Linked DNA regions of Oryzias latipes. The protein of the gene in region 1 interacts with the protein of each later gene in a biochemical or structural test. Links are inferred from orthologs where the notes say so. Each region holds a gene or a part of one and is shown in the gene's direction. Other genes may lie near its edges. The genes, in order: ibtk and btk.

The links.
Region 2: the proteins of ibtk (region 1) and btk form a complex in vitro, tested with the Homo sapiens proteins (2 studies listed by BioGRID). The link is inferred for Oryzias latipes from reciprocal best matches to the Homo sapiens genes IBTK and BTK.

The regions. Positions count from the first base shown.
Region 1 is NC_019874.2:4,295,442-4,302,343, reverse strand, and holds part of ibtk (inhibitor of Bruton tyrosine kinase), read left to right. Parts: intron 1-379; coding exon 380-764; intron 765-942; coding exon 943-1,199; intron 1,200-1,281; coding exon 1,282-1,368; intron 1,369-1,453; coding exon 1,454-1,536; intron 1,537-3,153; coding exon 3,154-3,191; intron 3,192-3,283; coding exon 3,284-3,380; intron 3,381-3,458; coding exon 3,459-3,560; intron 3,561-4,447; coding exon 4,448-4,565; intron 4,566-5,101; coding exon 5,102-5,162; intron 5,163-6,133; coding exon 6,134-6,261; intron 6,262-6,545; coding exon 6,546-6,658; intron 6,659-6,734; coding exon 6,735-6,880; intron 6,881-6,902. UniProt on the Homo sapiens protein: Acts as an inhibitor of BTK tyrosine kinase activity, thereby playing a role in B-cell development. Down-regulates BTK kinase activity, leading to interference with BTK-mediated calcium mobilization and NF-kappa-B-driven transcription.
Region 2 is NC_019868.2:8,311,148-8,317,260, reverse strand, and holds the end of btk (tyrosine-protein kinase BTK), read left to right. Parts: intron 1-36; coding exon 37-91; intron 92-187; coding exon 188-267; intron 268-714; coding exon 715-842; intron 843-1,483; coding exon 1,484-1,555; intron 1,556-1,758; coding exon 1,759-1,930; intron 1,931-2,035; coding exon 2,036-2,255; intron 2,256-2,409; coding exon 2,410-2,474; intron 2,475-2,556; coding exon 2,557-2,675; intron 2,676-2,769; coding exon 2,770-2,927; intron 2,928-3,027; coding exon 3,028-3,099; 3' UTR 3,100-3,451; downstream 3,452-6,113. Other genes in the region: timm8a (mitochondrial import inner membrane translocase subunit Tim8 A), read left to right, coding at 4,146-4,256, 5,696-5,857. UniProt on the Homo sapiens protein: Non-receptor tyrosine kinase indispensable for B lymphocyte development, differentiation and signaling. Binding of antigen to the B-cell antigen receptor (BCR) triggers signaling that ultimately leads to B-cell activation.

The DNA.
Region 1 (6,902 bases):
TGTGGCTGGAAAAAAATAAAATAAAAATAAAGTGGTCAAACTGCATTAACAAAAATCTGCTACACCGTGAGGCTGTGAAAAATAACCCGCATTATAGCGAGGGAATACAGTATACAGAGATTCTAAAAAATCTGTAAATGATCCAAATCCAAAGCAGTTCAGGATAAAAAAAGTTATCCTCATGCCTGATGAGCCTAAACTGTTTTTGTTTTTAGTGTTGTTTTTGTGCAAACGCTTTTAGCATCTAAATACAACTTTTTTGTCTGCAAGCAGTCTGCTTATAGCTTACATTGTTAATTGCATGTGATTGGGAATTTTTCTTTGTTTAACCTGAAATCGATCTAATAAATGTTTTATCTTTGTTTTTCCTAACTTCCAGCCTTTTCGAGGTTCCCAGCATCTCTCCATCCACCTTCTCCCAACACTTCCAGAGCCTTCTGGAGGAGGCAGATGAAACTGACAACATCCACGACGTGACTCTGCAAGCTGGCAATCGCACCTTCTCGGCTCACAAGTACATCCTGTCCATGAGATCAGACTTCTTCAGGAAGCTGTTTATGACTGATCACCGCGGAAATGAAGAGGAGCTCGATAAAGAAGTCAGAAGGAGCGAAGATGCAGTGGGCTGTGATTTGCTCATTTTGGAAAAAATCCCCGCAGACATGCTGGAATACGCGCTGCGCTTCATGTACACAGACTCCTGTGAGCTGCTGGTGCACGGGGCTCGGCCCAGAGCCTCAGGAGTCCCGACTGCACAAAACCAGGTTGCTTATTTTTCACATAAAATATCAAACGTCTTTAATATTCTACTTGTAAACACATACGAAATGAAATTCAGAGGGACTAAATGCTGTGATAACCATGTGTGACTGAGCTTGCATTACCCTGGAAGACCTGTCACCTCTGACTCATCATTGATTGCGACTGTGTGTGCTTGGCTAGGATTCAGAGCAGGGGAGGCTTATCAGCAGTCTGCAGGTTTTGGGTCTGAGAGATCGTTCGGCTCTTGAAGTCTATCGTTCCCTTTCCCCATCCACCAAAGAGGACAACAACAAGGCCAAGAACAAGGGCCTCAAGGTGGGCAAAAAGGCCAAAGGAGGCAAAGGGGACAAGACTGGAGCCAATGAGGGCGGGGCTAACCCTGTCAAAAGCTTACAGGCTGTTGCTAAAAAGCTGGGCCTGGGGAGCCTGTCAGCACGGTAAGAGGCTGTCTTTTCTGCTCCTAGCATGCTGCAGAAAGAACTGATGGTTCCTTTCTAACATCTTTTTCGGTTCCTGCAGACTGGATGGCGTCAGGTATGAAAATGGAAGGATTTCTGTTGTGCAGAAGAAGAGCGGCAGTAAACCTAAATTCTACCAGAAAAAAGGGTGTGTTGATGAATTATTAGTGGTTTTTGGTTCGTTTTTATCTTAAGACATCTGTTGACATAATTTTGTGTGTCTCTGTTTGCAGCTCTTATCTGTGTGATGTCACTCTGAAATCTGAAGATGGGAAGGAGTTTCCATGTCACAAATCTGTTCTCTGTGCACGACTTGGTAGAATCCATAAGAAAGCCTTTTTTATTCATATCATAAATGTGACAATTATTTCAGTTTTCTTCTAACATAGTTACATCACTAAAATATTACCGTATATATTTTTGACCAAATGAGTAGATTTTTATTTGTATTTTCTGGCATACAGTACAGACCAAAAGTTTAGACAAATCTTCTCATTCAAAGAGTTTTCTTTGTTTTCATTGTAGATTCACACTAAAGGCATCAAAACTATGAATTAACACATGTGGAATTATATACATAAAGTATGAAACAACTGAAATTATGTCATATTGTAGGTTCTTCATAGTAGCCACCATTTGCTTTGATTACTGCTTTGCACACTCTTGGCATTCTCTTCAAGTCACCTGAAATGGTCTCCACCAGTCTTAAAGGAGTTCCCAGAGATGCTTAGCACTTGTTGGCCCTTTTGCCTTCACTCTGCGGTCCAGCTCACCCCAAACCATCTCCATTGGGTTCAGGTCCGGTGACTGTGGAGGCCAGGTCATCTGGCGCAGCCCCCCATCACTCTCCTTCTTGGTCAAATAGCTCTTACACAGCCTGGAGGTCTGTTTGGGGTCATTGTCCTGTTGAAAAATAAATGATGGTCCAGCAAAATGGTGTGGTAGCCATGCTGGTTCAGTACGCCTTCAATTTGGAATAAATCCCCAACAGTGTCACCAGCAAAGCACCCCCACACCATCACACCTCCTCCTCCATGCTTCACGGTGGGAACCAGGCATGTAGAGTCCATCCGTTCACCTTTTCTGCATCACACAAAGACACGGTGGTTGGAACTAAAAATCTCTAATTTGGACTCATCAGACCAAAGCACAGATTTCCACTGGTCTCATGTCCATTCCTTGTGTTCTTTAGCCCAAACAAGTCTCTTCTGCTTGTTGCCTTTCTTTAGCAGTGGTTTCCTAGCAGATATTCTACCATGCAGGCCTGATTCACACAGTCTCCTTGTAACAGTTGTTGTAGAGATGTGTCTGCTGCTAGAACTCTGTGTGCCATTGACCTGCTCTCTAATCTGAGCTGCTGTTAACCTGCCATTTCTGAGGCTGGTGACTCGGATGAACTTATCCTCTGCAGCAGAGGTGACTCTTGGTCTTCCTTTCCTGGGGCGGTCCGCATGTGAGCCAGTTTCTTTGTAGCGCTTGATGGTTTTTGTGACTGCCCTTGGACACACTTTCAAAGCTTTTCCAATTTTCGGACTGACTGACCTTCATTTCTTAAAGTAATGATGGTCACTCGTTTTTCTGTACTTAGCTGCTTTTTTCTTGCCATGATACAAATTTCAGTTGACTACCACTTGAAGCTCATCAGGAGAATGCCAAGAGTGTGCAAAGCAGTAATCAAAGCAAAAGCTACTTTGAAGAACCTACAATATGAAATATTTTCAGTTGTTTTACACTTTTTTGTTATATATATAATTCCACATGTGTTAATTCACAGTTTTGATGCCTTCATTGTGAATCTACAATTTTCATAGTCATGAAAATAATGAGAATGAGAAGGTGTGTCCAAATGTTTGGTCTGTAGTGTATTTGTTACATTTTTGAAACCATTTGAATCTTTTGAAACCGTGACGGAACGAGCTTGTGTTTTCTGCAGAATACTTCAGCAGTATGCTTGGGAGCTCATGGATCGAGGTAGGCTCATGTTTTTACCGCTGCATTCCAAGCCTGTTGCCATTGTCGGCATTTTCTGCTTCATACTCGGTTGCACCTCTGTCACCTTTCAGGCAACTTCCTGCTCAGCACTGGAAATGCCGACCACCTCTGAGATTTTGCAGGTCATTCTCGAGTACATTTACACTGACGAGTCCTCCACCATTAAAGGTAAAGTCCCATTTTGAAATTCCAGGTGATCATTTGTCATTTGGGATAGTTAAGAGTTTTTCCCGCCTTCCCCAACAGAGTGTCAGAATGTGGAGTTTGTGTGCAACGTGCTGGTGGTTGCTGACCAGCTGCTCATCACGAGGCTGAAGGAGATGTGTGAGGTTGTCATCACAGAGAACTGTATGTTGTATTCATCTTTTCCTCCTCCGACTGATACCGCTTTGCTCTTGGTGTGAATGGAATATGTCCTTTTAGTGGAGAAACTGAATGGATTTGAAGATGAAAAGCAGCAGACTGAATATATTCACAAGCTTTTAAAGAACCACACCAATGAAAATCGTGTTTTTGGTGGGTTTTTTCCATATTTTTTCTTTTTTTCTCATGATGGAGGACATATTTAAAGGATTTAAGATCAAACTTGCTTTTCTGAGTATTTCTTTATTTGAATCGTTGCAGATGAAAAATAAGTTGCTTGAAAAATCTCCCAGTTGTGACGTAGAAACTGAAACGGACGGGCCAGAGGCTCCTATTCTGATGCATCTACTTGCAGACAAATAGTTCCATGTACATCTTTATTTTCCCCATCTGACCTTGAGTCTGGATGAAAACTGTCTGGCTGGATAGCTCCTATATTGCTCGCCATTTTTTTTCCACTGTTAATGTTAGCTTGGGGTTGTTAGGGGCTGTAAGCTAGCAGGACATTGTGTTAACAAAGGCATGCTGTGAAATCAGCGGAGGTTCCTGAGCCAACAGTCTTGTCCACAATTCAGTGGCGATTTTCTAATGGACTGCTGCCGCTCTGCAGAAACTTTGTCTTAAAAAGTGACAGGTATTTTGATTGTGCCTAAAAATAACAGAATCCTAATTAAAATACAACTGGGAACACTTTAAAAAATAGCTCAAAATACGATTGGAGTGGGACTTTAAATGCAAACAGATTTAATCTTCTTACTAAATCTCTCACGGGTGACATGAGCATCGTTTGTAAAACCAATCTGTGTGAAAGTAAAGAGAGAATCCCTGATTCCCTTTGACATGTGTCTATGTTTTTTTATTTCTTTTTCCAGTGACCTTAAAGAATGCTGCAGAGCTGCTGGAGTTTGCCACCATGTACAACGCAGAGCAGCTCAAACTATCCTGTCTCCAGTTCATCGCTCTCAACATGGCTGCTCTGCTGGAGTCAAAGTGAGAACCAGACGGCATTTCATCGACAGGAAGGCCAGCCCAGCTGCAGCGTGTGTGAATGGAGTCTGATGGGAATGAATCGGCAGAGTCCAGCGCAGGAAGCATTTTACTTTAGCTGCTTCCCACTTTAGACCACTTCCATCTTAAGTTATAAACAAAGCAGCTCAGAAAGGAGCTTCAGGTTTTCTGAACGACTGTGAGACTGGAAGCAGGAGAAGTTTGGTGTGAGATGCAAAGCTGCAGGAGGCAGAGTTTAGCTGCACTTTGCTTTTTCTTTTACTTCTGTTATCGGCTTTTAAGCAAAATTTACTGAACTGAAAAACTTTATTTAGCAATAATAGAAAGAGAAACTTTATTATCTATAAGACTGTAAATGCATAACTAGTTGATAAACAAACTTGATTCTCTCTTCTTAATGATAAAATGGGAACAGCAATGTTCCTTAACGAAAAGCCCCAAATCACCTAAACTCTTTCAAAATCGAATATGTTTAAAATCTGGATTCTTCTCTATTTTTTCTTTTCTTTATCATTTAGAGCTCTGGATGTTCTCAGTGACGAGGTCCTAGTGGAGCTTTCTGCAGCCTACAGGAGGCTGGTGAGTCATATCTGAATAATAATGACATAATCGGAATACGCGACCCGCGTTTGATGTCAACAGACAATTGATTTTTAATGAAGCTTGCGGAGGGAGGGGGGAATCCGCGGCACACACCTGTGCAGAACCGGGGCTGGTGATCCGTACGGATCAGCCACGCACCCCTAGTAGCTTCCCGTGGGATCCGGTGTCAGAGCGCTTAAGGAGTGAATAAAATAACAAGGCTCAGAGATGTGAGTCAGTTCAGCATCAGCTGCATTTCACTGCAACTCCCATGATGCATTGGGTTCACGTGACAGCATCTCTTACTGCGCTGCTGTGAAAGCCAGCATCTGTTCTAACAGTCTGCAAATCTTGATGAAAGCAGGAAAATAGTCCAGTTCTCCTTCAAGGTTTGTGGTTGAAAACAAAGGAGTTAAAATCAGAGATTCCAGTGTTTTTGGCCCAAGTCATCTTTATAAAAGAAAGAACTGCTTTCTAATATCGTCTGTCTTGAAGAACAAATTCACTTTCAGACTTTATTCACCTTTGAAAAACCTGAATTTAAGTTTAAATATAAGAAAAAAAATAAAGTGAAGTGTTCAACGGACACATTTAAACTAAACTGAAACAATTGAGTCATCCCAAAATTTAAACGTAACTAACTAAATTTTGACAAATTTAGTTAAGTCGTTATTGGAAACCATTGGAACCTTTAGGAAAAACAGCTGCAACTTCAGATCTTTTTGTGCTTTAATTATTACAAAAAATGCACGCGAGGTCATGCAGAGACCGGACATCAATAGTGACTATTGATTATTCACCTTTTTTGTTGCTGGTGTGCCGCAGGATTTTTGTCAGGGAAAAAGTGTGCCTTGGCTCAAAAAAAGGTGGAGAAACACCGGTGTAGAGGATGAAACTCCCACCCAGATGCTTTCAAAACTTTCAAGTGCTGTGGATTCAGTTTCCCAGAGTTGTGGTTCTGGTTCTAGATCCCAGCGATGCAGAAGCGAGTCATCACTCCCTATCCTGATGCTCCAGACCTCAGCCTGTATGAGGAGGAGGATTTGGACTCTGCCTTCGGTACCAAGCCGGAGACAGAATTGGATCTGTCATGCAGGTACGACCTATTTTCTACAAAGCTGAAAAGGATTTATTTCTTTATGGATGTGGAAGATTCTCCACTTAAACAGCAGAGTAAAATACTGGAGACGTCTCTGCTTACAACCTGGAAAACACAAAGCACTAATGAATGAACTGCAGAATCTCTATTTTAGGGGGATGCTGTTGTAGTGGCTGGTTTCAGGAAACAAAGCAGATGCATCAGACTGTTGATAAATGTGTTGTGATAAAACCTGCAAAGGGAAATCGGTACCAATGTATGTTTTGTCTCCTCGTTTTCAGGGAAATCGTGTTAAAAAAGGCCAAAATAAAAGCCAAAAAGAAACCAAGGCGGCGCTCTGACAGTTCAGGAGGTTACACCCTTTCTGATATCATCCACAGCCCTCCTGCTGCGGGTAAAGTCCCACACAGGGAAGCTAGTAGGTAAATAAAAGCTCACAACTTGACGGTCGTGCTGTCCCTTTGAGGCAGTTGTGTCTCCACTCTTGGTGAAGTCGGCCAAGGCCAACTCGACAGAGTCCCTGCAGGAGCTCCTGACGTCAGACTCGGACGGCAGCTGCATGGGAGCAGGCAGTCCCAGAGACATGCAGTCACCTGTCTTTGATATCCGGACGGAGGTCATTTTCACCTTTGATTTAT
Region 2 (6,113 bases), on another chromosome or scaffold:
GCAGTAAGAAAAAGACAGTTCTGTTGTTTTCGACAGTTGGTACTGCAAGAACATGAACCGCAGTCAAGCAGAACAGCTGTTAAAGTCTGAGGTAAATAAATGCTGCGACTACAGCATGTTTTTTTTGTTTCCTTCCGAACTAGAACCAGAACTTTTTTTCTGAAACTCTTAAAATGTTCACTTTCAGAACAAAGACGGCGGTTTCTTGGTGCGGGACTCAAGCAAAGCTGGGAAATACACCGTATCTTTATTTGCCAAGAGTGGCGCGTGAGTAAACTTGTGGAAACACTGCCACCATTTTTTTATGGTTGCTCCTTTGGCGTCAGTCATGTGTAAACTTATGAAAAGAAGAACTGTGCAAAATGAAAGCGGAAACGGCTGGTCGCAGAGAGAAAGATGTAAATCTTTTTATGCCAAATTTGGGCTAATCTTACTATTTAAGCTGATCTGTACTGTGGTTTACTCTGAGGATAAACTGTAATATAGTTACTGTCAAAGTCAAAGTCAAAGTTAGCTTTATTGTCAAATATTCTGCATACACAAGACATACAGCCCAGCACTGTGGGCACTCTCACCCCACAGTGCAAGCAGCACATAAAATAATAAAATAACAGTTATAAGAATAAGAAGATGTGGACACTAAGATACGATGTGGATGACTACCCTTCAGCTGGATCTGCTGGCACTCGATTTCACTTTTTTTTTTCTCTACAGGGAAACAGGTGGAAGCTGCAGACATTACAACATCTGCACAACCCCACAGGGCCAGTTTTATCTGTCAGAGAAGCACAACTTTGACACCATCCCAGAGCTCATCAACTATCATCAGCACAATGCCGCCGGTCAGTCCCGCCACGGCACAGATGGAGCCCTGTAGACCAGTATGCAAAACAGTATAAATAGAGCCAGCTCATGCTAACAGGAAATTACTCAACAGCGGGAAACCCTGAGAAACCTTTACCAAAATATCAGCAGAAATAAATAATCTTGACTAAAACTTCATTATGATTGCGATTAGAATTTTGAATTTCTTTTGAGTCCACTGACACCAGTTCATTCTATATGTTAACACCACAGACTGAAATGGGCTTAAAACAAAACAGCATGAAAAAACAAATTTTTGTAAAAAAAAAAAAAGAAGCAAATGAAGAAGACCACATTTTACATTAAAAGACTGCAGTGGTTAGTGGGAATATTAAATAAACCATCCTTGTGAACAAAACAAAAAAGACCACTGAATTATATATAAGAAGGCACAAGTTGAAAGCTGCATGATTGGGTATTGGACTTGATGAAAGTTACAAAACACATTAAAAAATGCAGATTTGGTTCGATAATGTGCCACGTTTCCTGCGGCGTTCCTTTTACCTATTTTTAAACCTAATGGCAGTACAGCAAACTACTGTCCTCCATGCATCTGTCACCGTTGCTATCAAACTGTCAACCTAAGTGAGGAGGTTTCAGCTGCTTTTCTTATCTCCAGGTATGGTTTGCAGGCTGAAGCATATTGTGTCTAATCGGGCGCGACCTCCGTCAACGGCAGGACTCGGCTATGGTAAGAGTATATCTGTAGCAGACTCTAAATCCTTTTTTTTTAACATTTGATGATGAATCAACTATTTATTTCTTTGCGAGCAATTTAAGTGCCAAAGATCCTCGGAGGGTTCGATTAGAGTTTAAGTTTAAGTTCTTGTGTGGGGGTAAAAAAGCCTGCAATCACAAAAGGACCTATTTAATCTGAACTTCTATTTCCTCCAGGCGTGTGGGAGATTGACCCCCACTACCTCACCTTCATCAAAGAGCTCGGCACGGGCCAGTTTGGAGTGGTGAAGTATGGGAAATGGCAGGGCCAGCACGACGTAGCCATCAAGATGATTAAAGAGGGCTCCATGTCAGAAGATGATTTCATTGAGGAAGCCAAAATCATGATGTAAGCACAGCTAAACCCCGTCAAGGAACATCCAGGTGGTGAATGTAGTTTTCAAAACCTCTGAGAAAAACCAAATGAACTTCCTTCTCTTTTTGCTCAAACCAGGAAGCTTCGCCATGAGAACCTGGTGCAGCTGTACGGTGTCTGCACCAAGCAGAGACCTATTTATATCGTGACTGAGTTTCTTGCAAATGGGTGTCTGCTGACATATCTCAAGGAAGGCCTGATCCAGCACCCAACTGCCGACCAGCTCTTGGAGATGTGTAAGGATGTATCTGAGGGCATGGCCTACCTCGAGTCACAGCAGTATATCCACAGAGACCTGGTGAGAGACAAAGATCTACTGTTTCTGAGTGGAAAAAAAAAACACCTAGCAGCATTCCCACACTGTGTCAAGATAACCAGCAGTTTGAGTTTACAAGATAACACTGCTACATTTAATGATTATCCTTGAATCAAGGGCACTGTTTTATCTGCAGGCTGCCAGGAACTGCTTAGTAGATGCAAATGGCACAGTCAAAGTGACTGACTTTGGTCTATCAAGGTAAAACCCTTCCTGGTTTCTGATGCACAAACGGGACACGAGTCAAAGCAAAAACAATGAAACCCCTTTTCAATGTCATCAGATACGTTTTAGATGATGAGTACACAAGTTCTGTTGGCTCAAAGTTCCCAGTTCGATGGTCTCCCCCTGAAGTCCTCCTCTACAGCAAATTCAGCAGCAAGTCAGACATCTGGGCTTACGGTGGGAGGTTTAACACAAACTGCTTATTAGTTCTTGGTCACTGTCGACTGAGCCACATTGTGCTATAACATGCTTACTGCTCGCTCTTTATCAGGGGTGCTGATGTGGGAGGTGTACACTTTGGGTAGACTTCCATATGAACGCCTCAACAACTCAGAAATTGTGGACCAGGTTTCACATGGCTTCCGTCTCTACCGCCCTCAGCTGGCCAACGAAAGAGTCTACAAAATTATGACAAGCTGCTGGCATGATGTAAGTGAGCCGTCGAATTTTATTTTAACTCCCGCAAAGAATTCGAAACGAAAAATCATTTCAGTATTATTAGAAATGTTGCTCTTTGCTTTACACTTAGAAACCAGACGAAAGGCCCACCTTTCAAGACCTGGTGCTGATTGTCCAGGATCTTCTGTATGAGCTCCAGTAGACCTCAGACCCACCTCCACAGCGCAGCATCTCTGTCTGTTCCTGGAAGATAAACACAATCATAAAAACTGTTACCAGTTTGAATACAGGGCTCAAAGACCATACAAATATCCTCTGTAATGTGAATATTTGACTGTCAAAATATCACAATTACTCACTTGCTTTTACATTTTATTTGTAAAAATGCATTCAGCTGGACTGTCCATATTTCCACTTATCTCTGACAACTATTATCTTTTCCTTTGAGTGTAAGTCTGTCTGGAATGTAGACAACATTTAGTTCGATTTGTTTTTTTAATGCAGTGTAAGCTTATGTTTTGCACAAATAAAGCCAAGTATGCTAGGCTTTCAAATGTTTGGGGTTTTGTGTTTAAAACGGTCTCTTTTGGTTTAATATTATCCAAATCTAAACATAACTTCACTGTTTACATTTTTGTATAACATGATGTTTTGCAGCAATTTTCATAAATTTTAAATATTGTTTATTTGAACATTTGCAGAATATAATGCAAAATTCAACATTTATAACAATACAAGAATAAAACGCAGTTCTAACTACAAAACAACATTGTTTTGATCTTTTGAAATTATTAACTATTGAGAACAAAATTATAAGTAATATAAATTTTTAGAGAAATTGGTGATCAATAATAACCAAATAAATCAATCACATACGGAAATAAATACGTAAATAAAAATAGAAATGCGTGAGTTAACTTGTGTCATACAAAAGACTTTGAGATGTTAACCGTTTTTTGAGCCTTTTTATTTATTGAAGCGGGATCAATTTGAATATTGCTACAGTTCAAATTTCAGTAAGAAGAATCCTGTTTTTTTGTTAGCAAATTTAATTTTGTGAATATGAAATTTAGCAATATATAAACGTTGACCGCTTACGTATGCGGCCCCACAAACGCGTTGTGTGATTGGCTGAATCACTTCCGGCTTCCCGTCGTTCATTCACACACGTGAAGGTCAGCAAACTCGGCAACATATTTCTATAATTAATATAAAGAATAGAGCTACAACAACATATTTGAAGAAACTATGGACGGGCAAGGAGCAACCGCTGACCCTCAGCTTCAACATTTCATCGAAATCGAGTCTCAGAAGCAGAGGTTTCAGCAGCTTGTGCATCAAATGACGGAGGTTTGCTGGGTAAGCAGAGCTTTTCGACAGCGCACCCGTTTGCATCTAAAACAGCAATAAAACAGAAGCAGGAAACGTTTGTGAAGTTTTGTTTAAAGGTTTATTTTAGATGTTGACCTTTGGTGTTTGTGTATAACCTAACGTGATCCCGCGTTTTAGGCAAATACCGGTCCGTTTGTGAACTCGGAGAGAACGTCATCGCCGTGCACGTTTTCCAGGTTCAGATGTTGTTTTGATAAAGCTTTATTGTTCTCTGCTTGTAACAAAAAGCCCCAAATAAAACAAGAGTTAATTTCTTGTGGAGAACATTGTTTATCTTATTTAACCGGAAGTGGACGTATATAAAAAAAAACAGGTATATGTCTTGAACTACCATTTAGACGTTGTTAGTCAAACGATATTTAATTACCATTGATATATTACTAATTTATAGTCATGTATATTGATTATATATGTATATCGATGTTAATTACGGTTTAATCAAGTATGTGACGTTCATCCCTGGCAATGGGGAGCTTATGGTTTACAGTTATGCCCATTAGTCAATAAATGGTCTGAATCCTTGCAGATATATTTATATAAAAGTTTTAAAATGATACTTGTTCCTATCAGATCCTTTGCTGTATGTCAAAAAGGTGTAGTACAATGTGTTTGTCCAGTAAAGGAAAAGTTGTGCATTTCTATTTTAGAAACAAAAAGGAAATCTAAATTTGTGTAACTATAGACTCTTAGATATTGGCACATTTCAGCTATTGGCCACAGCTGCAGGGGAAAACTATATCGGCCCACCCCTAGCTAGGATGGTTCGAGGATTCTCGCAATACTAGGAAAGGACTGTCCTAAAATATATCTTATTTTGAATTGGTCACTCTGATGAGAACTGTGTTTTTAACACGTTCTTGTGGTGTTTTTCTGATGACAATGGAAAACCATAAAGGAAAATTTATTAAGCTTGAAATTGCATTTTTGAGTGTTTTTTTTTTTTTTAATCATTGGGAATCTGGAGCAAACAAAAAATTGCAGTTGGAAAAAGCTTGTATTTGTGACATAGAAGCTACAATCGGCAAGCTAGAATTATACTCTATTTTGATGCATCCACCTGTAGACGGCTAGTTCCATATGTTGATGACTTCATGTTGTTGGTGTCTTACACTTTTTTGCTTTAAAAGCTGACATTAATCCATTCAAATGCAATAATGGTCATTACGACCTATCAGCCCAAGCTAAAACATCGTTTTCAGTCATAAAATAAAAAATTGTGTTCCGTAACAATCCCTACAATTGTATAGTTGAGCGTTGTGTGTACACTTATAAATAATCAGACAAAATTCTGTTTTGTTGAAGGTACATATATAAATTCTTAAAGGCACTATGCCTTACAGTTAGTGGTGGTAATACAGCTTAAAAAGTCTTTCTTTATTCTTAACATGTATGTTGTGTGTCTCCAGGAAAAGTGCATGGACAAACCTGGGCCCAAACTAGACTCCAGGACGGAATCGTGTTTTGTGAACTGCGTGGAGCGATTCATAGACACCAGCCAGTTTATTCTCAACAGATTGGAACAGACTCAGAGGGGCAAGGGCGGGTTCTCGGACAGCATGTTAGAATAAAATGTGTCGCTGAAAGGACGAGGAGGTTCACGCACATCTGCAGCTTCTGAGTGAAGCTGTTGACCCTGATGGATCTCACAACTAAGAAAGAAGGAGAACTTTAGGGTTTATTTCTGTCAAAAGTGCCTGAGACTAACACCAAGCATGGAGTCGTACATAAATGTAGTGTTGTCCTCTGCTGGTATGGAAGTATTGCTTGGACTGGGGTGTCCTGGCAGCTGTGTCAGCTGAAGAATTCAAGTAAAGTAACAGTTCG